7 linked regions of the Sus scrofa genome follow. The protein of the gene in region 3 interacts with the protein of the main gene of each other region in a pairwise test. Links are inferred from orthologs where the notes say so. Each region holds a gene or a part of one and is shown on either strand. Other genes may lie near its edges.

Region 1 (4,234 bases), on a different chromosome or scaffold from region 3:
AAACCCAGCCTCATAAAACCAGAGCCTACATAGTAAAGCCTGCACAGTGTGCACCTAACTGTGTGACAAGAACGTCATCTGCTGAAGGTCCTTCACCTTCTGGCACCGAGTAAGCGATGGATAGTACAGGACAGAGAGAGGTGTTAAAGAAAGGAACCCGGTGACAAAAGAGTGAAAAGATAGCTAAATACTTTTCCTAATATACTAGTTAAGACACTAAAGACCCCAATAGACTGTTTAATTTTGATAACTGAACCCTAAACACTGCAGATAATTTCTATTCAGAAAGCTTATGTGACATATCATTACCAAATCGTGGGATTTGAGGTCTGGCTCAGAAAAACAAAAACCAAAGAAACCCCTTTAGGCCTAGTACACTTTCCCTTTCAACAACAAATAGGATAACCCCTCCTCAGAAAAAAATCCATAGCAAAACTGACAACACTATGACTTGAACCCAGCCAGAACTCAGACTGGGACTTGAACCCACGTGCCTATCACCTGGACAAATAAAAATCTGGCCTATGGGTTATTTCCTTTGATTTTTCCCCCTCTAGATTACTATCAACTATGTATGTTACATTAACATAGAAAGTGTATACAAAAAACAAACATGCTGGCATAGTGAAAATTCACAAATTGATGTTCTATACTTTGTATAAATTCAGCATAGGCAAAAATGAGTTACTTCTTCAGCCTTCACACGCACTGAGAAAATCATGATTTTAATCTACTAGAATTCTTAACCACCAAAAAAAAAAAAAAGAAATCCCTCTTCCCAGTTCCTACTTATCTCTTCTGCTTCGTTCCTAAAATTATAGTTTCCTTCAATACTGATTATTAAGCGCACAATACTAGGTGTGCAAATGCTTGTGCACCCTAACTTGGGCTTGTACACACTTGCTCTTCTAGAACTCAGGGGAAATGCTCCAACAGGCCATGGAAAGCCTCTGATTCTAAAAAGTCCTAGCTTAGATAACTCTTTCACTGATTTAAAAACATCTATAATGGAAAGTTAAGTAGTTGAAAAGGCTTTGGTAGTAGCTGAGAAAGAGCGCTTGTACCCTCTAATATGGCAGTTAAGGAAAGCTGGATGTGGGCTCCCGGGTTAAGAAGTATTGTCTCCCAAGCAACAAAGACAAGCCAGAAACACGTTTTCTCTTTTTTAAAAGGCAGAGCAATGTTTTGATTAACGAGTTAATCAGGCTAACGATGAAGGGATAAGAAAGTGGAAGAGCAACTGCTAAAACAAAAAAAACTGACTTTGGAAAGATATTATTCTTTGAAACTTCCCTTTCCTCTAGGTCACATTGGGAAAATCTCCCTAACGCCTTACCTCCTTCCAAACAGCACTGCGGGGCATTATATAACATTTAACTGGACAGGGTTCCAGCTCCTAAAATGATGCTCTACCCAGATAGCCAGCTGACTCTCTCGCCCTCCGGTGGTGACTTAAGAAACGAGACAAGAGAATATTAAAAAAAAAAAAAAAAAAAAAAAAAAAAAAAAAAAGGCAACCTCCTTAAAAGGAAAACCACTGTCCAGTGATGAAATTTCCCTACAGAGCATAAAAGCCTGGAGTGAAACTGATCCTAAGTCTGAGCTTAAATGACATGAATGTGCCACAATGCAAATAATCCTCATTGATAAATCAGTCTCTCAACCCACATATAAAGAAAAAAGCATAAAGGGACATACAGAAGGTTGCCAAGAAGAAAAAGAGCACTGCCGGGGGAAATCAGGGAAGAATATTCACCTTTCCATCTGTCAGGAATGACTTGCTAAAATGCAGCTATTGCCTGGCATAGCCAAAGACAGGCAGAGACAGACAGAGAGAGAGCGCGCTTTCATTTCCTACTCCCTCTCCTTCAGATGTCTTTTAATGCCCGTGGACTGTCATTTATACATTCAGACTTGTTCTTCTGCCAGGGAGGGCTCTGCTGCACCTGGATGCTACGGCTCTCACTGAAAACATCCTCTGCCAGTAACAAAGACACGAAAATGAAACATTTTTCCAGCCTTCATTTTTAATAAGCCATTTAAAGCAAAGGGAGCAGAACTACAATTCCACAGCCAATCCCGAGAACCCGAAGTGAATCCGGAATGAGATTTCCCTCTAACGCAAATTCTTCTGCAATTCTTAAAAGGAAGTGAGCTCCCTTGCCCTCTTTTTGGCAGTCTACAAGAATCTCTCCCTACCTCTGTGGTCCCTCCCTCCCTCCCTCTCCTCAGAACCAAGACAAAGAGGTAGACCAATCCCCACAGGGTCTTAACTGAGCTCCAGCTGCACAGCACAGGAAACAGGAATCTGCTACGGAGCTGGGGAGGGGGGGAGAAAAAAGGATACGGACACAACACACACACACACACGACTCACGACAGGCACAGACGAACACTTTTCAGCTGCTAGCAATAATTCTGTCCCTTTCTAAAAGGTTAATAAATTAAAACTCTGGTGACTATGCCCCACCCCCATATCTTTATTTAGATCTCAGAAACAAGAAAAGAAACACAGGAGGAAACACAAATCTTACCTGAGTTACCATTTTCTTCTTCTCCATAAACCGAATGGCACAGAAGATGAACACTTCAGAGCAGTCGTGCTGGGGCACACCTTCCACGGCTCTCCTTCCTCCCCCCTCCCCCCCCAGCCTAGCTCTTTAAGGGTGGGCGGTTGCTCTCCCTCTATCCCGTTTTCCTTCCTTTTTCTTTCTAGTGTTTCTTCCTTTCTTTTCTCTTCCTCTCTGGCAGTCTCTCCCCCTCCTCCTTTCTCCAGCTCCCTCCCATATCTCAGGCAGATGGCTGAAGGAAGCCCCACCCCTGAATGCCGAAGGTAATTAATCAGAGTAGAGCCCCACCTCTTCCTCCTCCCCCCGCCCCCTCCCCGCAGGCTGACATCTCCCAACTCCAGAAACAGGCCTGCTGGAGAATGGCAGTTTGGTGTGTGCTTTGCGCGTGCGTGCGTGGTGTGTGTGTGTGTGTGTGTGTGTGTGTGTGAGTGAGAGAGAGAGAGAGAGAGAGAGGGAGGAGAGAGGGAGGAGGAGGGAAGGAGGGGGAGAGAGGGAAGGGCAGGCGCCATGTGCAGGCATATTTTAAGGAGTGAGTATCTGCGATGGTGGCATTAATTATATACACAGGAAGTATTCACGGCAGCTTACCACAGTTAATACAGATTTAAAATATTCCATCTAAGAATATCTGATAATAAATAAATGAAAGAGAAATTATTTTTAAAAAAACATTTCCACTGATGTACAGTCTACAGATGCAGTGGATTTAATAAAAGATGAGAAAAGCTGCTCCGTGACTGGAAGGTTTTCAAGGAATGGAAATATGCAAGAACCTGCTTGTCCTAAACCAGTCTAATGGCTGCAAAGGACTGAAAAAGAAGGGAGGTAATTTAAGAGCTTATTTTTTCTACTGTAAAAAAAAATCAGGGGGATCTGAAAAAGGTGATTGCTTAAGAAACTTAAGGTGGATACAAATTGGACTGCTCAAGGCTTCCAGCTTTATTAAAAACTGTAGTTAACTCAGAATGTGCCCTTTGTGTTCCCCAGCCTTCTGCATCTCAGCTGCTACTGAAAAACATAAACCCTTTCTTACAGACACTGACATATATACCATGACATTTGTGCCATTACTGTAACTACTGACCGTTACTCTAGAGTGCTTATTAGATGCAGAAGGTTTGGGAGAATGTTCACTGAATATAAGAGTTTCTTCTAAGTTCTCTTAGTAAAAAGTCGTAATGAAAAAAAGCATCAAAGGTATGATTCAGTCCAAAAGTCCTGGTCAAAGTCCTAATTCTCCCCTTTATAAGTGATCTTGGAAAAGTCTTTAACCTCTGAATATAAGCATCATAATCTCCCTATTTTCTGTTATTAAATATTCAAACAAAGTAACCTATGGGAATGTTTGATGAGTTTATGATGTTCTTCTCAAACATAAAGATGCTCTCATTTTTTTTTAGTATTCTAAGAAATAAAATCCTGAAGGTTTTATTACATTTCTTAGTTATGCTATATTTATTATGTTATAATCCCTAGTAGAGTACCCAAAGAGCAAAGAAATTAATTCTAGATTAAGATGCCTATTTAAAAAGTAAACACATAAAAAAATCAAAATTAAAAATCACAAATCACACTGAGAAGACATCATTTTTTTGCTGTCTCAATGAGGACTGTTTGGCTTTTAGTGTGTGGTATAATAATGTTGGTTGGCCCAGTGCCAATAT
Region 2 (3,500 bases), on a different chromosome or scaffold from region 3:
CAGCTCCAATTCGACCCCTAGCCTAAGAACCTCCATATGCCACCGGTGCGGCCCTAAAAAAAGACCAAAAAACAAAAAAAACCCACCAAACCTCTAGTGTCATCACTTTTGAGGCTAAGCTTTGATCCCTGACCTGTGAATTTCTGCATGCCAAGGGTGTGGCCAAAAAAAAAAAAAAGGCAACTTACCTGAAAGATATTAGAAATGGCATCCAGAATAACCAGGATAATTTTGGTATCTTTTGCAGTTAAGAGGTTCATCAATGGTTCTATTATGCCACAGTGGACAAGGTACACGATCTGTTCAACTGTTCCACCACTTGTGTAATTGGTCACAGCCCATACAGCTTCCTTTTGTGTCTTAAAGTCTGCCTAATAAACACAAGAAAACAGGTGTATTTCAGAATGGGCATAAAAATAAGATTCCAAAAGTACTCTTTTAGAAAAATAGTGACTAAAACTACCATCTGACTATTATTTAGCAAAAGACTATAAGTAGGACCTAACATTAGTACATTAAGAACCTTATGAAGTACAGTTCTACCAAGTGGCCTCTGGAAGCAATCCTTTATGAAGGCCTAAGGCTTCTTACCTTCGAGAGAACGCCAACAAGGAATGGGACCAATCCATGATTTACAACTTGCTGTATCTGGTCCTGGCGACCAGCTGTAATATTTGACATTGTCCACGTAGCCTCCTTCTGAATATTTGTTTTGGAGTTTGTTAGCAGGCTGGGAAAGACGGCGAGTGCTCCTGCATCTATGACAACCTGCGTCTGTTCATCTGTGCCAGTGACAATGTTTCCTATTGCTCTTAGTGCAGGAGTCTGGAAAGGGAAAAATGCTGATGTTGCTGGTTATCCTTCATCGTTTCTACCACTGCTCGAAGTCGCTACACCCTAAAAGTCTGGACAAGAGGCTCATTGTGGCCTAAAATAGGTAGTATGTCAATATTAGTACTGACTGATTATGCTCTTCATACTTTATTTCTCATTTGAAAATTAACTTACCACAATCGGCAGTTCAGTGGCTCCTAAAAGCTTCACAAGTTGGGGTACGACCCCTGTCTTCACAACCATTTCAATCCGTTCATTTGGACCATCGGTAAGGTAGGAAATAGCCCAGCAGGTATCTGCTAAAACTTCTGGATCATCGTGATGTAGGAGACGAACTAAAGTAGGAAGAATTTGCTCAACAGCATCTAAGGGGGGTGCAGGATTCTTGTTGCGACAAAGGTTTGAAAGTGTCCAGGTAAGATTACGTAAGTAACCACACTGGGGGAAAAGAAAAATGCAATGAAGTTCTCCATTTTTTGAGGGGGTGGGCAAAATCAGAATCAACAAGTAACTTGACTTATGGTTAAGTAACTTACTGCTAATGATGACATATCAGGAACCGCGAGAAGAGCCAACAGCGGGTCAACCGCACCGTACTTGATAACCAAGTCTCGGAAAACGGAACCATCCCCTTAAAAAAAATTTAAAAAGGCAAGGTTAATCATAACTACTTGTCTAGCACCATCAATTTCACTGACTGAGTACCAGTGTCTTGATACAAGGAAACACTCAGATAGTTCCTAAAATAAATAAATGACACTTTTACCTCTTATAAGCACTGGAAGCAAGTTCAATCCCTAACTCAAAGGCACTTCAACCAACCTCAGTATTAGAGACATTCAGTCAAAAGAACTTGAAATCCAAGTACCTGCGATGTTTCCGAGAGCCCACACAGCTTGTTCACTGATGTGAGCATGGGGAGATGCCAACAGAGAAATGAATGCTGGGATAGCACCTCCATCTACAACAGCCTTGGTCTGTTCTGATGTTCCAGAGGCAATGTTAGTGAGGGCCCAAGCAGACTCAAACTGAATGGGACTACAATCCATTCTGCCCAGGAAGGACACAAATTTTGGAATCAAACCAGCCCGGATTATGTTGTCTATGGGAGGCTGTTTTTCCCTAGAAAGCAGTTTCCTAAGGGTAAATAAAAGGAGAAACAAAAGATGAAGGTAATTAACAAAATAGGTTTGAGTGAAAAACAATTTAAAATGTAACTCAGGAGTTCAGAGCATTAGACAACCTTTTACAGTAAAGCACTAAGTGCTGAGATATCCTAAAATTTAAGAGGACCTCAACAGACTGGTTGCATGGTGCTATTATATGTGATGTCTTAAATTACCTTTTTCCCCCATACTGAAATACTACCAATAATGTAGAACCCTTCTCGATGCATCCCTGCAGAAATCTACTTTAGGTCTTGTCACTTTTAAAAAATTGACAATCTGGGAGTTCCTGTTGTGGCATAGTGGAAACGAATCCGACTAGGAATCATGAGGTTTCAGGTTCAATCCCTGGCCTCGCTCAGTAGGTTAAGGATCCAGCGTTGCCGTGAGCTGTGGTGTAGGTCGCAGATGCAGCTCAGATCCAGTGTTTCTGTGGCTCTGGTGTAGGCCGGTGGCTACAAGCCCTGATTAGACCCCTAGCCTGGGAACCTCCATATGCCACAGGTGTGGCCCTAAAAAGACCAAAAACAAAAAACAAAAAAAATCCAAAAAAAACTAACAATCTGATAGCATTACACTCTCATTTAACATTTTTCCATGATCATCTGTCAACTAGATTTGCTTTTCTGCACACTGTCAAGCCAGAGATTATTAATCCTTGCTAAAATGGATGTCAAAACTATTTGTCTACAGAGATAAGAGTCTAAAAATATACTTATTTCCTAAATGGGTGGACCAATCCCACTTACTGAATAATTCCTTCTTCCCTGACACTGACTTAAAATGCCATGTTGATAAAAACTTTGTAATTTTCTTAAATATACACCAAAAAGCTAATAATCATTATCAGTGGAGGTGCATGGAGTCTTTGGCAATTACTGAAATCTTTAAATTCTCTCAAGGGAAGATTCTAATGAAAACAGGCCTATGCATGGCTTAACTTTGACTTTACCCAAACCACCTCTTTCCCACCAAAAAAAAAAAAAAAAAAAAAAATCTAAAAATCTAAAAAGGCTATCCATGCTATAGAGACAAGGCTTACCTAGCAGCTTGAGTAGCCTGGAGCTGGCTTTCCAAATTGTTGCTATTTATGCCTTTGACAATGTCATCGACAGACCAATTTACGGTGCCCTAAGAGAACAGTGGAATTAATTTTGCAAACTATCATTTTTTTAAGATTAACTACAAACAGTAAAATCCCTACCAGCAATGTGTAAACTGTTCTAACAGCTATGAAAAGTTTAGCCTACATTTTTTTTTCTTTGGCCATACCCACATGTGGAAGTTCCTGGGCCAGGGACTGAACCCACACTGCAGTTGCCACCTGCCTCATAGCTGCAGCAATGCTGGATCCTCAAGCTGCTGCACCACAGGGGAACTTCTGAATCCTACATTTAAATCTGCCTAATTAAATGTTCATTATTTAATATGTAGAACAGTTGTCAAACTTGGTGTCATGATTCAATGAAGTCTCAAGTAATGAGAGTACCCCCAGCAAAC
Region 3 (4,004 bases):
CAGAGTCACCAACTGTTTCTATGTCCTTGCCCTATCTATTCCAGGAAGGCCCCCTAAAACCCTCACCTGTAGTGACAGCCTGACCCACTAGCCAATGGTCACCCTGAGTCCTGGGCTTGTCTTTCACTGTCTTCCAGGCAGGAGTTTCATCTCTGAACCAGGCCAGGAGCAACCCAAGGGTGGGGCCTGAAGCTTCTCCTCTTCCTATGTTCACCACTGGCTCTGCTTGTACCACCCTGGACAAATCACTCAAGTCACTTCACCTCTCTGGAAACTAGTTTCCTTCCCTGTAAAACTGAAACTATGACCCCAGCCGGTATGAAGCATCTTGAAGATTTAGTGCGTGAGATAACCTGTGTGAATGTGCCTAGGCCAAGACCTAACACATGATGGCTACTATCAAAATACACAAGGAATTACATGCAGACTGGATATATTACATGTCCATGTCTCATCTCCCCATTAGTCCGTGGACACTCAGAGGACAGGAATTATCACATACATCTTATCATCCCCTACAACCTAGCTGAATACAGGCAGCTATATATTGTTTTGTTTTAGAACAAATGAACAACCTCACAGAAGAAAGGAGAGGCCCAAAGCAAAGTGGAACTAGCAGGGATCTCACCTTTCGGGTCCTCTTGCCCCGAATTATAGTCCTGGATTCCAGATTCTGAGCCTGGGAGCCATCTGCTGATGTCTGTGCAGCTGCACCATCAGATTCACAGATACCTGGTCCTGGGTCAGCCTCTATGTCAGCCTGGGAAGTGGCCATCTTGGCCTGGTTAATATTCTGGGTCTGGGTTTCAGCTGTTGGGGCTTTAGTGGTATCATTCCAAGCCTTGAAGGCTGTCTTAGGCTGAGTGTTGACCATCTCATTGGCATTGAGAGATGGAGAGAAATTGTAAGTGGCATTTGGGCCCACCTTCGTAGTGGCATTCTGGGCCTTAAAGGCCATCTCAGGTTTGGCAGTTAACTCACTGGTGGTTGCTGCCTGGGAAAAATCATAGGCAGCATTTGGGCCCTTTGAGGGGGCATTTGGGGCCTTAAAGGCTACCGTAGGTGGTGTGCTGGGAATCTCCTTGGCATTAAGAGCCTGAGAGAAATCATAGGCAGCATTTGGGCCTTTTGTGGTGGCATTCTGGGCCTTAAAGGCTGTCTTAGGCTTAGTGGCAGCTGCTAAAGCCTGAATATCAGCCACCTCATTGGCAGATGGGGGCTGTGAACTCTGAGGACTAGCATTTGGCCCACTGGCAGCTGCTGTGGCCTGGTTGGTAGGTGGAGCCTCCGAGATCTGGATGGCCTCCATCAGGGTCTGCATAAGCAAGGTGCTGTCTTCTACAGAGGCCTCAGCCTGCAAATACAAGGGGAAAAAATAAATCTCTGGGCCTCACAAAGTGGGGTTGGGAGCGGGGGAGTAGCTCAGAGGAGGTGCAGGGGGGGCGGCTGGTGCAAAGAGAGGAAGGCTGAGGCAGAGATCTAGAGGCCTGAGAGGAATGAAGTGATAACAGAACGTGTGAGAGGGGCTGAGTGGGGCAGAGGTTAAACATGGGGCGGGCGGCGATGAGGTGAGGGGGGCAAAGTGGAAGGCAGGTGCTGATCTGGGAGTGAGGTTAGAGCAGAACATTGCAGTGTGAGGTAGGAGCTCAGGAGCAGGAGGAGGTGGAGCAAGAGTGCCGCCTGGAGGAGTTGAGGAGAATAAGGGGGTCGCAAGGGGTGGGGAATGCAGGAGGAAGGGAGGGTGGAGGAGGCTGGGGGAGGGGGCGGCAAAGAGCTCTACAAGCATCAGGACTATGGAAAAAAATGGTTCCTTACCCAACCCGCATTCTCTGGGCAGATTGCCCTGACTACTAACAGGGTCTCCCCTTTCTCTGAGCAGGGACTGATGGCTGAAAGGGACGCCCCCTCCCCCATAAACCATGGGAATTTGAAAAATGAAGGAATCCAGGCACCAAGAAGGCACAATCTGATCCAGGCGTTTGGATAGCCAAAGGGGCCCGGGAAGGGGGAAACTGTCGGCTGGGGAAATGGTGGGGTGGGGAGTGGAGATCTCACCTGGAAGCCGAGGAGGCCCGCACCACAGTCCATTTTCTGAGCCATGGTTCTTGTCCCTCTGGCAAGAGCAGAGCCTGGGGAGGGGGGTGTGGGGGAGGAGTTAGGCGTTACACTACAGAGGGTAAATGGGAAGGAATGAATGTGGGGAGACGGTGGTGTTTGAGGTTTGATTGTGGGGGCGGATGAGGTGCTGAATGTGAGGGGAACGGGCCAGATCGGAGTGGGAAAAGTGAATGGGTGTCCGGATGGATGTTCTGAATCCCTAGAAGCTACGACGGGGAGAAGCTTCAAATCGGGGTTTGGAAAACCGATTTAAGAGTTCTGAATCCAGGCGGATAGCACTGGGATTCGCATATGGGAAACTGAATGGAGTTTCCGAATCAGGAGGAATCATATAACAGTACAGATTGAGGTCGAGAAATCTGTAAATTCTGAACGATGGGAGGGGCTCAGAGAGCAAACAGGGATTCTGAATAAGGGAGGATCGGGTGAGGGGTGTGAATTAGGGTTCGGGGAGTGGAAGAAGGATCAGAATCCGGGGTAAAGGGATTGGGATGAAAAATGGGGGGCCCGCACCAGGGGGCAGATGCCCTGTCTGGGGGCTAATTCTCACCTTGCCTCAGGCCCCAACCCCAACCCCCTCGTTGCCTCCCTTCTTCACGACTCAGAGGATCGGGATTGCAGTGCTCGGCTCTCAGCAGCCGCACCCTCTCCTTGTCCAGGAGAAAATGCCAGCGCGGCAGCTAGGACGACCCCGCCTCTTCGCCTAATATACCACCCACCGCCTCAGATGGTTGTACGCATGCGCAAGAACTGACCGACCAAATAAGAGTCCCGCCTGCTTTCCCAACAAAAGCTTCGTCCTGAAGACTAAGGTGCGCATGTGCAGTGGGAGGCAATCCCGCCCCTTTGCCAACACACCACCCCACCACCAACCAGGTCGACAGTATACAGCGATCCCTCCCCTTTCTCTATATCCCCTCCCCCAAACAGATTCGCAGTGCCTCTAGATCCCACCCCTTGCCCCACACACTGGCCCCCTACCTTTTCCGCAATGCGTCTCTGTTCTATCCCTCCCCTCGCACGGCCCCTCCTGTCAGGTCGGCATGCATCTCCACCCCCTAGTCTAGCAGCACTTAGGTCACTATTAAGGAGGTCTCTGTAGGGGGGCTCTAACTGCTACAAGTGTTTGGCTCGGGCTAAAAATAAGCACATCCACTTAGGGACCCAGGAAAAGGAACGGCCAGAGGATACATTATTAGAGGTAGAGTCTGTGCCTGCCACGTGACTCCATGATTTCCACCCCCCTCCTCAACAGATCCCAGACTCATAAACATTAGCTTCTTTCCTGCCCTTTGTGCAGCTCCAGCTATTTATTTTGTGTGTGGAGGTGGGAAGGTGGGGAGGTGGGGAGGAGGGGAGGGAAGGGCACAGTTTGTACTTCACAGCACGATCTATGCTGGGGCTTGTTTTCTTCTTACAGCAGCCCTGGGAGGTGGATGTCAGCATCTCCATTTTACAGATAAAGACGCTGAGGTACAAACATATTGCATGAACTAGACAAAGCCACAAAGCCAGTAAACAGAGAAAGCAAAATGTGGTCCTGTCCTGGGTCTTCCAGACCCTAAAACCCACGATCCACCGGCGCTGGCCCAGGGACTGAAGCACCCTCCTTTTATCAGTTTAAGCAACAGATCTATCCCACCTCCTGCCCTGTCAACATCTGTCCCAAACAGACAAGGTTAGTGTTCCCTGAGACTTAAGCTCATGCTCTCAATTTAGGAGGAAACAGATAGAGGTCCCAGCTCTTCCTCCGCCCCGCCCCCTCCCACTCCCCGCCCTCCTGCTCTGTGGGTCCATCCAGATATGGGAATTGCTCATTGGGGTCCACTCCCTGCTCCGGCCGTCAGGCCCCTTCATTGTGAGAGGCACAAACGCCCTACCCCTGA
Region 4 (4,021 bases), on a different chromosome or scaffold from region 3:
TACACCAACAGGAGTCATGGTAGACTAGCAGAGACTGAAAAATCGTGGGCAGGCTTTTCACCACCACTGCCGGTAAATGACACACCTCCCTTCTGCTAACATTTCACTCGCTCTCTAACCACAAAGAGGGGGATATTCAGGGGAGTGAATGAAATATTTGATGAGCATTGCAATCTGCCACATTTATCATTAAGGGGCCTGTCTTAGGATTCTTTTACAAGGGCTAGAGACAACCTCCTTCTCCATCTATTTGATTAAGGACCACTGATCAGGAATTTAGGAACTTCAGATTCTTTCAAGCAAGTTTTGAGGTAGGAGGCAAATACCCTGCTTGGTATCCCTGAAGCACTTTGCTTTTTGGGGAGGAGATGACCCCTGATTAACCTTTGTTTGCTCAACACTGAAGCTACCTTCTGATACATGGTAGAAGCTCACTGAGTGGCCAGTTGTGTCTCAAAGACACAGGTCAGGTGAAAGCCTACAGTCTGAGTAAGAACACCTCCCATCTTCCCATGGTGTTCTTCAGTCACAAGTTTTTGGTTTTTGGTTGAAATTCCTCCAATTTCATTAAACAGAACCAAGAAACACTACAAATTCTGAGGGAACAGGAGCAAGAACCAATGCAATGTGAACAATCACTTTTATTGCTTTACTGCACCATGACGAACGCCACATATAATAAAAATTGTATCTGTAGTGCTATACAAAAACAATAAGCTCACTGCTTCAGAAGAATAGAAAGAAATGCATCAAGATTTATCCTATTCAGTCATGTGAAAGTATATGGAAAAAAAGTCTCAAGAGACTGCTACCAATTTGCGCTCCATCATTTATAGTATTTAGTCCCTTAGCTTCCAGTCTCTGTTGCTGGAATCATCTTAAGCTGCAATGTCAGATCTTTTTTTCTTTTTATGTTTTTGGCTATGCTCATGGCATGTGGAAATTCTCAGGCCAGGGATGAAACCTGCACCACAGCAGCAACCTTAACCACAACAACCCTTAAGCCACTGAGCCAGCAGAGAACCCTGCAATGTCAGTTTTATCATTCTCAAATATGACCTTTAAAACCCAGGACCCGGAGTTCCTGTTGCAGCTCAGCAGAAACGAATCTGAATAGCATCCATGAGGACGCAGGTTGGATCCCTTGCCCTGCTCAGTGGGTTAAGGATTCAGCATTGCTGTGAGCTGTGGTATAGGTTGCAGATGTGGCTCAGATCCTGTGTTGCTGTGGTTGTGGTGTAAGGTCAGCAGCTACAGCTCTGATTTGACCCCTACCCTGGGAACCTCCATATGCTGTGGGTATGGCCCTAAAAAGACAAAAAACAAAACAAAAACAAAAACAAAAACAAAAAACAATGACCCAGGACTTGACTCCTTAATTCTTGCAATTTTGACTCTTCATGTAACTTCTTAACCTTTTTTTTTTTTTTTTTAAATCTAAAGTCCCCAAATGAACATTCTGCTGTGTCAGGGATAATTATTCTTTAGCTGGACATATTTGCTAACAAATCCCCCACTACCTGGGATGCCATTTCTTTCCTCTTCCATCTATTGAAATTTTGCCCATTGCTCAAGCTCCAAATGGGTCTTAACCCTACTTTGAAACTCTCCCTGAATATTTCTGCTCACACTGATCTGAGCACCTGAAGCAGCTATGGTCTGTAACAGCCATCTATGCATCAAGAACTATACAAAAGTTTTCATTTAAATCTTTTTTGAGTCTCTTTCTAGAGTATGAGCTCCTTAAGAATATATTTTATTTAATAGCCCCATATATAGATTAACAGAGGACCCTTAAGAAATATTTACTGCATACCTGAGTTGGGCCTTATAAAGGTAAAGATGTGCCACCAGGTATTATATTTACTAGCTGAATCTTGAAGAATCTTCAAGATGTTATATTTTGGAATTACATATTGGCTGGATTCTTTAAAAAGTTGCTATTTCAAATATATATTTTAATATACATTATTCTCATTTATCAATATTTTCCTGAACATTTATATTTTAGCTTTAGTAAAAATATCATTTTTGAAAATATAAATGCTAGATTTCACTTTTGAGAATTTATCCTTACATCCACTACCTATTGATTCTGTTTCATATACCAATATTATATTTTCCTTGGTCATTAGCCGATCTGACCCTGCTACAAATGTAAACAAAACCCAATTCCAAAGATGATAATTTTGTCATATCCTTTAACAGATGGATTGTCTATTATGCTAGGTTTTAAACAAAAATATCCATTTTGCTTGATAATTACAATAACATTAAGACATTAAATCCATATTAAAGCAACAACAAAATACAGCTTCTTGGAGTATAAAATAATCTATAATTAACCGTATTACCTTGGTCCTTTTATCATTCAAAAATCCACTGCTAATCCCAGGATAACATTTTCTCTAAAGAGAAAAATAGCCTCTGAAAATCTTTCTCCCTGCCACTCTGACATTATGGCTGTATTTTATCTGCTTTTCCTTTGACAGTCTCCTTTAAAACTAGCAAAAAAAAAAAAAAAAAAATCAGAATAGTTTATTTAACTCTGTAGAATCCTTTGTCAGTTACCCTGTGTGCCTTGAGAGGTTGTCCGTTTCTTTTTCCATTGAATTACACTGTTGACTCGGCAGCCTGATTTTCCAGATTGGTCCACGCTGTATCGGTTTGGTGATTTTTTGTAAGGATTGATAACTATGAAAGAGTCTAAAAATAGGGCAGTTCCAGACTAAATTGGAACAGTCTTTTCCCGTAAAGCAATCTGGTATCTCACAAAATTCCAAGAAGAATGAATGACAGAGCACGCACCAATAGGAAGTGGAGAAAAGTATTTTGTCTAAGTTTACTACCCAATCCTTGGGAGCCAGAGGTGGGAATTTTAAAATAGGGTTGTCCTTTCCTTGGAATTTTCTTAAAGTGGTATCCCCTCCTGTTGAAGTCTGCCAAAGATTGCCAAATCACTAATTCTAAATTAGAGAATTTTTCCTCCGTTTTGAGTTAGGCAAAGTGTAAACTTGGCACTTGACAAATTTAGAGAATTTTAAGAGAATCACATGGCTACTTTTGTGTCTATTTCAAAGGGCAGAAGTTATTTCAAGATAATTCATTTTTTCATGATCAAATATAAGTTAATGTACTTAAATATTTCATTTTTAGAGAAAGGCAAACTAAGAGGCTAACACTGCTTTTAAAAAATTGGTCTAGCTATAGTTAATCTTTTTTGTCTGTATGACTCTTCAATATTAGGAGCAAATCATATTATTTGGGTTGATCTTAAACATCCTAAAGATTTTTGTTTTTACACAAACTGTAGGTTTTCTCATTTTAAGTCTAGTAAAAAGTTCAAGTACAAGTTCTTAAGTATTTACAAATCTGTATAAAAGGTCTTAGAAGTACATGACATACACCATGCATATACTTTAGAAAACTCTGAAGACTAGTTTACTAAATAGATAATTGCTAGTATTGCATTATAACTCATACCTTTTTTGGGATAGGTGTTATTTTTATTTAATATAACTGCTTTTCAGGCTACTTAATCTCTAACGGAAATTATATAAACCAACGTAAATCTATAAAGTCAAAGCTGTTTGACAATGAACCGCTAGATAATCAACGTTAGGCTTTCCAAAGAGGTTACCCTCTTTTCAATAGTACGTGTGTCATAGGACAGCTTTGAGAGTTAAGTGAAATAATCTAGCGCAGCTCTTAGAACGCTGCCTGGTACACAGTAAACGACTGGGTGTTAAAGTTGCTGTAATGCACAGAATTACATTAGAGGACTAGTGAGTCAGTGACAGTACGAATGAAAGAAGAGATCAGTTACTGGCGGTTCCCGAGGTTGGAGCCGGCCAAATCACCCCCACAAAACCCTAAGCCAAAAGCCAAATGCGAGAGCAACCCCTAACACCGGAGCCGGAAGCAAAGGCCGAGTGGGGCGCGGGGCAGGCTTGGAGAAGGCCCTTTTTTCAGCGAATAGGCATGTCTCTTGGAAAACGGGCATCTTATCCCACCTATTGCA
Region 5 (3,500 bases), on a different chromosome or scaffold from region 3:
TGCACAGTATGTGTCTGCTACTAGGGTATGGGTTATAGGGCTCCAAAAAAGGGTAAAATGTTTCTGTTTGTAAAGGAGCTTGTATTTTTTTTCCCCCTTATCTGACAGTTCTTAGGGAAGGACATAGGTATAATTTTTGAAAAGGCTATTATTTATCCTGAATTTCTTACTGGCCTTTTTTCCTGATTTTACAAACAAAAATATAAACAAGTACAAAGAAATGAAATTATAATCCTGTATTCAGAGATACTCTCAACCTTCCAGACTATATGCACATAAGTGTTTTCCTGTTCTGTATATTTTAGGCCTTATTAAGTATAGATAAAATGGAAACAAGTTTTTGCTTATTCCTTTTATAGATACTGTGGATGGTAGGGAAGAAAAGCCTGCTGCTTCTGATTCTTCTGGAAAACAGTCTACTCAGGTGATGGCAGCAAGTATGTCAGCTTTTGATCCTTTAAAAAACCAAGATGAAATCAATAAAAATGTCATGTCAGCATTTGGCCTAACAGATGATCAGGTTTCAGGTAAGTTAGTGCCTTCCTCCATCCTTTATTTCCTTTCTCCGTCTTTCCCTCCCATTCCTTCTTTCCTTCTTAAATAGAAGATAACTTGGATATGGTGAAGTGCTTAGATCTTAAAGGCAGTTGTATAAATGTTTTACATATGTATACACCTATAAAAAACACCAACTTGATCAAGATGTAGGTGGTTTCCAGCACCTTGGAAAGCTTTCTCATGCTCTCTCCCAGTCAGTAGAACCCTCCTCCTCTTTAGAGAATAACCTTTGTACACAGTTTAGGTACATTGTATTAAAAGTAGAATTCAGGGGGTATGTTATTTTAAAAATCTGAGTCATTTTATAGTCTTCAGATTTATTGCCAGATTTAAGTTATATTTGATGTTTTATTCTCTTCTGATCTTAAATTAGGAAAATTTATTTTATTTTATTTTGTCGTTTGTCTTTTTAGTGCTGCACCCATGGCATATGGACGTTCCCAGGCCAGGGGTCAAATTGGAGATGTAGCCACCGGCCTACACCACAGCCACAGCAACATGGGATCCGAACCGTGTCTGTGGCCTATACCACAGCCACGGCAATGCTGGATCCTTAACCCACTGAGCGAGGCCAGGGATTGAACCCGTGTCCTCATGGATGCTAGTCGGGTTCGTTAACCACTGAACCACGACGGGAACTCCCAAATTAGGGAAATTTAAAAGTAGATTTCTGATTAGATTGTTTTAGTGTAGAAAGTCCTTTTATGTGAATGTTTTTAACCTTAAAACAGCATCTATACTGTGCTTTCTTTTTATATTTTGGCCAGCATTTTTACTGCCTTCTTCTTTGGGGATTTCAGTTACACATACATTGGGGAGCTTAGTATTGTCCCATGGGTTTCTGAGATTCATTTTTCTTCATTCTTTGTTCTTCAGATCGGATGATTCCTATTGATCTCCCTCAAGGTCACTGATTTTTTCCTTCCATTTCCAATCTGCTGTTGAACCTTTCTAGTGAATTTTTCATCTCAATTATTGTTCTTTTAGCTTTAGAATTTCCATATGGTTCTTTTATAATTTTATTTTTCTCCTTTGATTCCTTATCTTTTCATTCATTAAGATTGTATTTCCCTTTAATTCATTGAAGATATTTTTGTTTAATTCTCTATAAAAAATATTTATAAAGCTGCTTTGAAACATTTGCTGCGTCCAGCATCTGGGCCTATTTGAAGTCACTTTCTTTTGCTTGCCTTTTCCCTTGAGTATGGGTCACATTCTTATTTGTTTGCATGTCTGATGGTTTTTTGTTTGTTTTTTGGAGTTTGTTTTTTGGCCAAGCCTGAGACACCTGGAAGTTCCAAGGCCAGGGATTGAACTTATACCACAGCAGCCACCCAGGCCACTGCATTGACAATGCTGGATCCTTAACCCACTACACCACAGGGGAACTCCTAATAGTTTTTGACTGTAAACTGGATATTGTGGTTGTTGTTGTAGTGACTTGGAATTCTTCAGCATAATGCTCTCTCCACTGAGCTATTTCATCAAAGACTTGGGATTCTTTTAGGTTCTTGTGAGGATTTTTTGTTACTGTTGCTCTAGTAGGGAGTTGACTTACATTTACTCAGACTACTTCTTTTTCCCCAGGGGATTATAGAAGCTGATAGCTCTGCTCAGTCCTTTCAGTTCTAGGTGCTGCCTTTTCTTCTATGCCCTCGAGGGTGTCACTCTCTCCCCGCCTAACTGCACGGTCACTTGGGAACTTGGGGCTGAGCTTATACTCAAATTTTAGGTCTCATTCCTTCAGTGACTTCCCTACCAAAGGATTTTTCCCCTTCAAATTCCTATCTGCTTGCTCTGTGGCTTTCTGCTATTGGAGCTGCAGAGGTTGGGGTTTGCAATTTTTAGCCATTATAAGTCCAGTGGGGGTAAACTCTTTTCTGGTGTCTTCTGACATTTTGTTAACCTCCAGTAATCAAATAGCTGTTTTATTGTATTTTATCCAGGTTTTTAAGTTGTTACTTGTGGGAGGTTTTACCTGAGCAGTTTGTCATTGTCAGTAACTGGAAAAATAGGATTTTGTCTATTAATTTTCTTTCTTTTTGAGACTTTTATGGGATTATTTATTAAAGAGAATTGTGTGAAACTCTGAGTTAAGACAGATAATTGTATATGACGTATGTTCGTGGTGGAGTAAGATACCAAGATAAGACAGTCCTGGAGTTCCTGTTGTGGCTCAGTGGTTGACAAATCCAACTAGGAACCATGAGGTTGTGGGTTCAATCCCTGGTCTCCCTCAATGGGTTAAGGATCCGACATTGCTGTGAGCTGTGGTGTAGGTTGCAGACTTTGCTTGGATCCTGCGTTGCTGTGGCTGTGGTGTAGCCGATTAGACCCCTAGCCTGGGAATTTCATATGCCGCAGGTGCAGCCCTAGAAAAGACAAAAAAAAAACAAAAAAAAAAAGATAAGACAGTCCATCTGAAAAACACACATTTAGAACAATTGAAATAAGTTAATATTATAGCTTCTTAATATTTAAGACTTCAAGATATGGCAGATAGAAGAGTAAATAAAATAGTTATATATAAGGTCAGGCTTAAAAGTTTTCATTAGAATATGGTATAGACTAGAATAATATGATTCACATTATATTTGAAGACTTTTTCTGGTAGCTTTGTATGTTGAACTGAAGTAAGGAAGACTGTACACATAGAAAATGCCAGGATACTTTGTAGTCACTTAGGTTATGATGTGGTGAAAAACTTGGCTGCAGTAGTGAATGTGGACATGGGAAGGAGGAGGGATGGAGTATTATGACAGAATGAGCAACATTAACTAATAGCTTACATACAAGACAGAAAAGAGGAATCAAAGTAATATATATATTTTTATGATAATACCATAGTGTTTTTGTATTATCTTTGTTGTCCTTCTTAGGAGGGATGTGTCTGTATGTATTTATTTGTCTACATGTTGATAAATATCAGTATAATGGTGGTA
Region 6 (2,574 bases), on a different chromosome or scaffold from region 3:
AGGCTTCAAAATATAAACACTGTACCTCTCCCTCAGAAAAAAAAAATTATTCTTCTCTTCAAAAACAGGAATACATTCATTTTCCCTCACTTTTGTAGATCAAGTAATTATACAAATAAACATCTGAAACACTTTCCTTTTCAATATATTTATATAATATATATATATTTATAACAGTTTTACAAATAAAGGCAACAACTTTATACCAAAATAAAAACAGGAAAATAAAAAGTTAAAACACGGTCAGCGATCAAGCATAGTGCATTTCAAAAAGCTGGTGCAGGGCTAGCTGGACAAGTCAGAAAAGTACTCTGGACCAAAAATAAAATTTCTTTGAAGGAGACAGAATCCTTTTTAGCAATAAGGACACTCCATATGCCGTCGGGTAAGGGGAATTAGCCTGCAGAAAGGATCTTGCTATGCCAAGGGTTGGTTAGTCCTTAAGGAAGCTAAGCCTGGTTAAAAGGAGCTTGAGGGTAGAGCTGACAACCGAGTCTAGCTTCGCTTGTGGAAACAGTAATTTATTACTCAGCTTTTTATGCACTTTGGGGTTCTGGGAACTTAGGCGCTTGCATCTCTCTAACCCTGCTTTGATTCCCTGGACAGCAAGACCGTTTTCTCAGTAAGACTAAAAACAGATGCCTGAGGCCCAGGGTGGCTTCTCCCTCCTTCCCTGGCAGTTGGGCTTGTACCAGGGGGCCTTTTTCAGTTCCTTAGGAAGCTAATCGCTATGAAAGCCTGAGTAGGGAACTACATTCTCTTTATTCATCCAGGCAGGGGTGGGGAGCAGTCCTGTGGAAATCTCCCCAAACCGCTACCATGCTATGCCAGTGTCTGCTACTTCACCACTTTGCAGAAAGTTCAGTCTGGCTGCCCTCTCCCCATATGGTGAGTCACGGTGACAATGAAAGGGAGAAGGGTGGGGTCAGAAGAGCTGGCTGAGAACCGCACTCTGGAAAGCCCTCTTTTGAAAGTACCTTTTTCTCAAAGCCACAGACCTGGCTCCCAAAGTAAAGACTGACTCACAGACCAAGACTTTGAAGCTTTTGAAACTCCAGCTGATTTGTAGCAGAGGGGGATAGTCTCTGGGTGGGGAAAAGCCCAGAGACGTACTACCATCCCCCCAAATCACCTGATGTCAGAATGTCAGGTACTCCTTCACATCCTCCCGATGCCAAAAAGAGCTCTAATGTCCCATACCAACACATGATGCATGTGCACACGAGTGTGTGCATATGCACGCGCACACACACACACTCCTGAATCTTTTCTTCCTGACACTGATAAACCTGGCATACACACTGGAACAGTCTTGCTGTACTCACAGACACTGTTTTTATGGGGTTTTTTGGGGGGGAAGTAGGGTGGAAGGAAAGCACAACAGCAGTACCCCCTAAATAGTTTAGTCTTTGGTTTCTAAGTTTAAAGGGGGGATCTGCTTCAGAGCTTGGAGCAGGGCAGAAGAGTCGATGGCCGGGTGGGGTGGCAAGGGAGAAGGGAGTCTCTGGGGCATGAGCAAGGGGGCTGTGATCTTGTCTGGGTTCATGAAGCTGGTGAGGGCTGCAGCAGAGGCGTTGAGGCCTGGGTATAACACTGGGACGGAAGTGGGATACCAGCACTTCTCCAGCATAGGCAAGTAGGCAGTTGCTGATGGTGGGATCAGATAAAAGGGCAGGCAAAAAGGAGGCTGGTGTGGGTGTGGACCCAGGAATGGGGAGCTGATCAGGTCACTGCTAGTGAAATGGCCTTCATCATCTGAGAGTTGCATCCTGCTCTTTTTCGTGGGGGGTTCTTCGGATTCTTGCTTAATAGCACTGATCCTTTCTCCCATGGTGAACCTGCGTCCATGATCACTTTTGAAGTATGGCTGCTCGACCCGCAGCTCGCTCTTCTCTGATTCTCCTCCGTACCCACTGTCTGTGTCTGTGTCACTGCCACTCTGCTCACCACTTGAGTGAGGGAAAGTCCGCTGGATGACTGGCACACAGTTTTTGCCTGGGCCTTCAGAGCCTTTGGCCAGGGAGCTGGGTTTCTCCTTGAAGTCCATCACTTTGGGAGCTGGGTCTGCTGGCTTCCTGGAGGTACCACCTTGCAGGAGCTCGGAGACCACGCGGTGGAGGTGGGTAACCAGCTGCGAAGATTTCAGGTCCCGAGTATTCTCATGCTTGGCCAAGTACTGAAGCACCTCCCGGGCACAGGTCTGGAAACCTGAGCAGAACATCTCTTGACCTGCTTCGACATTTCTCCCCGACAGATCACCTGGATCAACACAGATCCAAAGGAAAACATTTCAGAAGGCCCTGTGGTTTACCTGCATACCTATATGACAAAGACTAGGAGCTTCCATTTTTGTTAATAGCATTTACTGCTTTATGTTCCTAACTCTAAAAGTAATATGATCAGAGAAATCTGGGTTACACTGAAAAGATAAAATAAAAATCATCTATAATCCTACCACTCAGAGATAACATATATTTTGTAATGGATATATAATATTCCATCATAGAAACAGACCATAATTAATAGAAACAGACTATTTCCCCTATTGTTGAATTTATAGGTTGTGCTTGCTTT
Region 7 (3,500 bases), on a different chromosome or scaffold from region 3:
AAATGGCTGAATCTCATCCAGGTGCCTTTCCTATGTGATCCCAGGCTGCGCATGCCATACCAAGGCACTGTCCTCATGAAATTATTGGGTTTTAAATGTGAACCTATTGCCTTCCCCCCCCCACGGTGAATTCTAGGAGGTCAGGGGTACGTCTTATTTGTTCTCCACCATCAATGCCTACTATGGTATCTTATACATACTAAATGTCAAGTAATCACCAAATGAATCAATGCATGAAATAATAAATTACCAGCTCAGTCTCAAAGGAGTAATATCACATGTTAACATTAGCCCACGTCAAGGATTAAAAAAAAAAAAAAATAGGACTACGACATAGATTGTTATTATATCCAGTAAATACTGTGTATTAACAGAGTCAATGACATTTAAAGGCCAGGAAATGTATCTCCAGCATCATAAAACATATTGTACATTAAAACTCAGTGCTTTGGGAATGCTTAGTCATCTAAGATTGTACACCACCTGCAGACTCACAGACATAGAGAATAGACTTGTGGGACCTTTTTTTTTGGAGTGGGGAGGGCACGAGAGCATTGGACTGGAAGTTTGGAACTAGCAGATACAAACTATTATATATAGAAGGATAAACAAGGTCCTACTGCATAGCACAAGGAACTATGTTCAATATCTAGTAATAAACCATAAGAGAAAAGAAAAAAAAATCCCCCTTGAGTTCTTTCACACCCCTTCCGGCTGGCTACAGGCCCACATGTAAGGCAAATCCAGAACTTTCCAGGGCATTCCAGAAGTTCTCCCTCACCCTCTGCATACAGAACCTTCCTGTGTAAGCCAAGGAAGAACTATTACAAAGCTCGAGTGTGGCTTGCAGAAATAACTGGCATTCTCACTTTACCTCCATTTCTCCTCTCCAATGCCTGGGAAAATCCATATAAAGGAAAAACTAGACGAATCAGAAGTCTGACTGTTTCAGTGACTTCTATTTACTCTATAAAAACTGACTTCTAACACCACAGATTGGGTATTATTGGCTATTTACTGGGTTTTGTTCATCCTTGACCTTTCAAATTGCTTTCACTGGTTCAAGGCACTGGACTTTCATCTGAAAAGGTGTGACTGCTCTAACTGACCCAAAGGGAGCCTGAGCATAAGCAGATGCTGCCCCTTCCCAGAAACGACATTTGACCTTCCTTCTGGAAGAACGCACTGCACTCACCTGTAGCTGGGATATCGTCAAAGGGTATCGGAATAATATCCAGGTCACACCTTCACTGCAAGGCGGGATAGTGAGGGAGCCTTCGTAAACCCAGTAATCCCGCAGCAGAGGATCTGTGCAAACCAACCACAGGGTATGTCATGGGAAGGCAAGGTAATTGAAAAAAATTTTGAAGATTCCAACCATTCTCAAAATTACAAACTGTCCAAATAACAGGCTGATGCCATTTTTAAACTAGAACCTCGCATATGTATTTTTAAACTGATCATAAGGAGAAAATAATCAGTAGAAAACATGGTGAATGCTCTTTCTATTATTTACAGTGATTTCTATCAATTAATTATATACACGCTTAACTATGACTATACAAACGGAATATACATAAACTTGATATACTATGTGATATATATACACACTTGATGTATATTTTATATATCAAGTTTGCTCACTTGAGGAGAAGTATATCCACAGTTTGGGGGGTTTTTTACCTTATTGGAGGATTTACCTGACTGATTGTACCTAATATTTACTGAATGTTTACTACATGTGAAATGCTCTTCTAAACATTTTACATTAATTAGTGAGATCGGTCCTTTTATTAGCCCCATTTCTCTGATGGGGAAACTGACTCACAGAGGATTATGTTATATGCCCAAGACCTCTGGGCTAACCAAAGCAGTCTGGTTTCAGAGTCTGTGTATTTAAATGACCTTTGAAAAAGTTGAGTTAAAATAAATATCCCTGTAAAATGCAACAAGAACAACAACTCAATAATCTGTAACTTCTGGAATTTAAAGTAAGAGATTGTGTGAATTCTTCCTGGGTGTGATAATTAGAGCCTTTGGGTCTTTTAAGAATGCTAAATCCTATGTCTAATTTTTTAAATAAAAACAAGAGACAAAAAAAAAAAAGAATCTACGTGTATAACCATTCTGGTCTAACTACCTCTATATTCTTCCTCAACAGAGAAACATTAAAATCATATTATAATAGAATAAAAGAAATCATTCTTATGAAACCTTTTAGCTCTCCGTGAGAGGAATTTGTGATTAAACATGATGGGCAAATATTCAACATATGGCAAAAACTGGTTCATTGTAGAGCAATTAAATGTAAAAAGGAGAAGATATAATGCATTCGGTTTCGTTTGGAACCCTAACAATTTTCACATAATTTAAGCAGAGAAGTGTGAAGATCATAATTTTATCCAAAACAACCTCTATCTAAAAAGTATACTCTGAGTATTTTGTACATACCTCTTACCTGTTCGGACATACCTAAGTATTTAGAATAAGAGCTAAAGAGCATGACTGCAAAGAGGTTATCTTTTAAAATTAGATATAAAGTTTATTTCATGCCAGAGATTAGTAAGAACTTCGCTGGCCAATCTTAGATGCACAACAAGGTTAAGTTATTATACTCGTGCTTTACACAGAGGTCATCACTTGCACAAATGAAAATACAAAGGAAACACTTTTGAAAATACAAACACAACACAATGGAGCTAGTGGCAAAGTATTTATTATATCAAAAGGTTTACTGCCAGGTTTAGAGAAATCTGAAATTGGTGCCAGATACAGAGAATATCAATAGTAGAGACACTTTATTAGCTAATAAGATATAGCTGTATATATCCTGAGGGTAACAAAGCAGTCATCTTCACAGTTCAAATTCATCTTACGCAGCCAGATGAACGCTTACCTGGTAATAAAGTGTTAGGATTAAAGCAGGGTATTGTTTTGGACTTCCCCTGAAAAAGAAAACAATGTACCCCCACATTAACATAAAATCTCTAAGTTTTAGAACAAAAAAAGTCATTAGCACTAAAAATCCAGGTTGCAGTCTTTCCTGACTGGCACCAGCAGACCCCATAGATTTGAGAATGTGTCCATGTGTCGTCTCACTGGAGCAACAGGGGCCGCTGGTTCCAGTAAGATACTCCTGCTCTCAGTCTGTAGCACTGTCTTTATGACCACCTCTCAATTTTCCCTAGAATCCCCAGTGTGAAACTGCAAACTGTCCAGTGTTTGTCTGTCCCAAGTCAGCTACCTTTCCTGCTCCTGGCACCTCCAGACCAGAGACGCCGGCCCTCGTTCAGGAAGTCTTTTGAGATGACTTTCCTCCTGGTTCTGTGATCTCTGTTCCCAACCTGCTTGTATGACAAGCTGCCTCCGAGTTCTCATTGTGCCCCATTTGGATGTGGTAACTCAGCTCTAAAATCCATCCTAGATGCTCTCCTGCTCCAGGGAAGAACTGCCAGTCAAATGAAAAGGTCGAATTTCCATACACATTTATCAGAACGAGA

The links.
Region 1: the proteins of MAGED1 (region 3) and RBFOX2 interact in binary tests that used the Homo sapiens proteins (3 or more experiments, as listed by UniProt). The two-hybrid records come from large-scale screens. The link is inferred for Sus scrofa from reciprocal best matches to the Homo sapiens genes MAGED1 and RBFOX2.
Region 2: the proteins of MAGED1 (region 3) and KPNA2 interact in binary tests that used the Homo sapiens proteins (3 or more experiments, as listed by UniProt). The two-hybrid records come from large-scale screens. The link is inferred for Sus scrofa from reciprocal best matches to the Homo sapiens genes MAGED1 and KPNA2.
Region 4: the proteins of MAGED1 (region 3) and TTC23 interact in binary tests that used the Homo sapiens proteins (3 or more experiments, as listed by UniProt). The two-hybrid records come from large-scale screens. The link is inferred for Sus scrofa from reciprocal best matches to the Homo sapiens genes MAGED1 and TTC23.
Region 5: the proteins of MAGED1 (region 3) and TFG interact in binary tests that used the Homo sapiens proteins (3 or more experiments, as listed by UniProt). The two-hybrid records come from large-scale screens. The link is inferred for Sus scrofa from reciprocal best matches to the Homo sapiens genes MAGED1 and TFG.
Region 6: the proteins of MAGED1 (region 3) and BHLHE40 interact in binary tests that used the Homo sapiens proteins (3 or more experiments, as listed by UniProt). The two-hybrid records come from large-scale screens. The link is inferred for Sus scrofa from reciprocal best matches to the Homo sapiens genes MAGED1 and BHLHE40.
Region 7: the proteins of MAGED1 (region 3) and CA8 interact in binary tests that used the Homo sapiens proteins (3 or more experiments, as listed by UniProt). The two-hybrid records come from large-scale screens. The link is inferred for Sus scrofa from reciprocal best matches to the Homo sapiens genes MAGED1 and CA8.

What each region holds. Positions count from the first base shown.
Region 1 is NC_010447.5:11,807,716-11,811,949, reverse strand, and holds the start of RBFOX2 (RNA binding protein, fox-1 homolog (C. elegans) 2), read right to left. Parts: upstream 2,801-4,234; 5' UTR 2,562-2,800; coding exon 2,535-2,561; intron 1-2,534. UniProt on the Homo sapiens protein: RNA-binding protein that regulates alternative splicing events by binding to 5'-UGCAUGU-3' elements. Prevents binding of U2AF2 to the 3'-splice site.
Region 2 is NC_010454.4:14,289,592-14,293,091, reverse strand, and holds part of KPNA2 (importin subunit alpha-1), read right to left. Parts: intron 3,132-3,500; coding exon 3,043-3,131; intron 1,972-3,042; coding exon 1,703-1,971; intron 1,466-1,702; coding exon 1,371-1,465; intron 1,273-1,370; coding exon 1,009-1,272; intron 826-1,008; coding exon 592-825; intron 372-591; coding exon 189-371; intron 1-188.
Region 3 is NC_010461.5:45,321,335-45,325,338, reverse strand, and holds the start of MAGED1 (melanoma-associated antigen D1), read right to left. Parts: upstream 2,801-4,004; 5' UTR 2,669-2,800; intron 2,130-2,668; 5' UTR 2,101-2,129; coding exon 2,056-2,100; intron 1,355-2,055; coding exon 629-1,354; intron 1-628. UniProt on the Homo sapiens protein: Involved in the apoptotic response after nerve growth factor (NGF) binding in neuronal cells. Inhibits cell cycle progression, and facilitates NGFR-mediated apoptosis. May act as a regulator of the function of DLX family members.
Region 4 is NC_010443.5:137,994,402-137,998,422, forward strand, and holds the start of TTC23 (tetratricopeptide repeat protein 23), read right to left. Parts: upstream 2,801-4,021; 5' UTR 2,572-2,800; exon of another isoform or gene 2,355-2,571; intron 1-2,354. UniProt on the Homo sapiens protein: Participates positively in the ciliary Hedgehog (Hh) signaling.
Region 5 is NC_010455.5:158,302,903-158,306,402, reverse strand, and holds part of TFG (protein TFG), read left to right. Parts: intron 1-359; coding exon 360-527; intron 528-3,500. UniProt on the Homo sapiens protein: Plays a role in the normal dynamic function of the endoplasmic reticulum (ER) and its associated microtubules. Required for secretory cargo traffic from the endoplasmic reticulum to the Golgi apparatus.
Region 6 is NC_010455.5:61,531,012-61,533,585, reverse strand, and holds the end of BHLHE40 (class E basic helix-loop-helix protein 40), read right to left. Parts: intron 2,260-2,574; coding exon 1,403-2,259; 3' UTR 501-1,402; downstream 1-500. UniProt on the Homo sapiens protein: Transcriptional repressor involved in the regulation of the circadian rhythm by negatively regulating the activity of the clock genes and clock-controlled genes.
Region 7 is NC_010446.5:73,110,367-73,113,866, reverse strand, and holds part of CA8 (carbonic anhydrase-related protein), read right to left. Parts: intron 2,946-3,500; coding exon 2,897-2,945; intron 1,309-2,896; coding exon 1,196-1,308; intron 1-1,195. UniProt on the Homo sapiens protein: Does not have a carbonic anhydrase catalytic activity.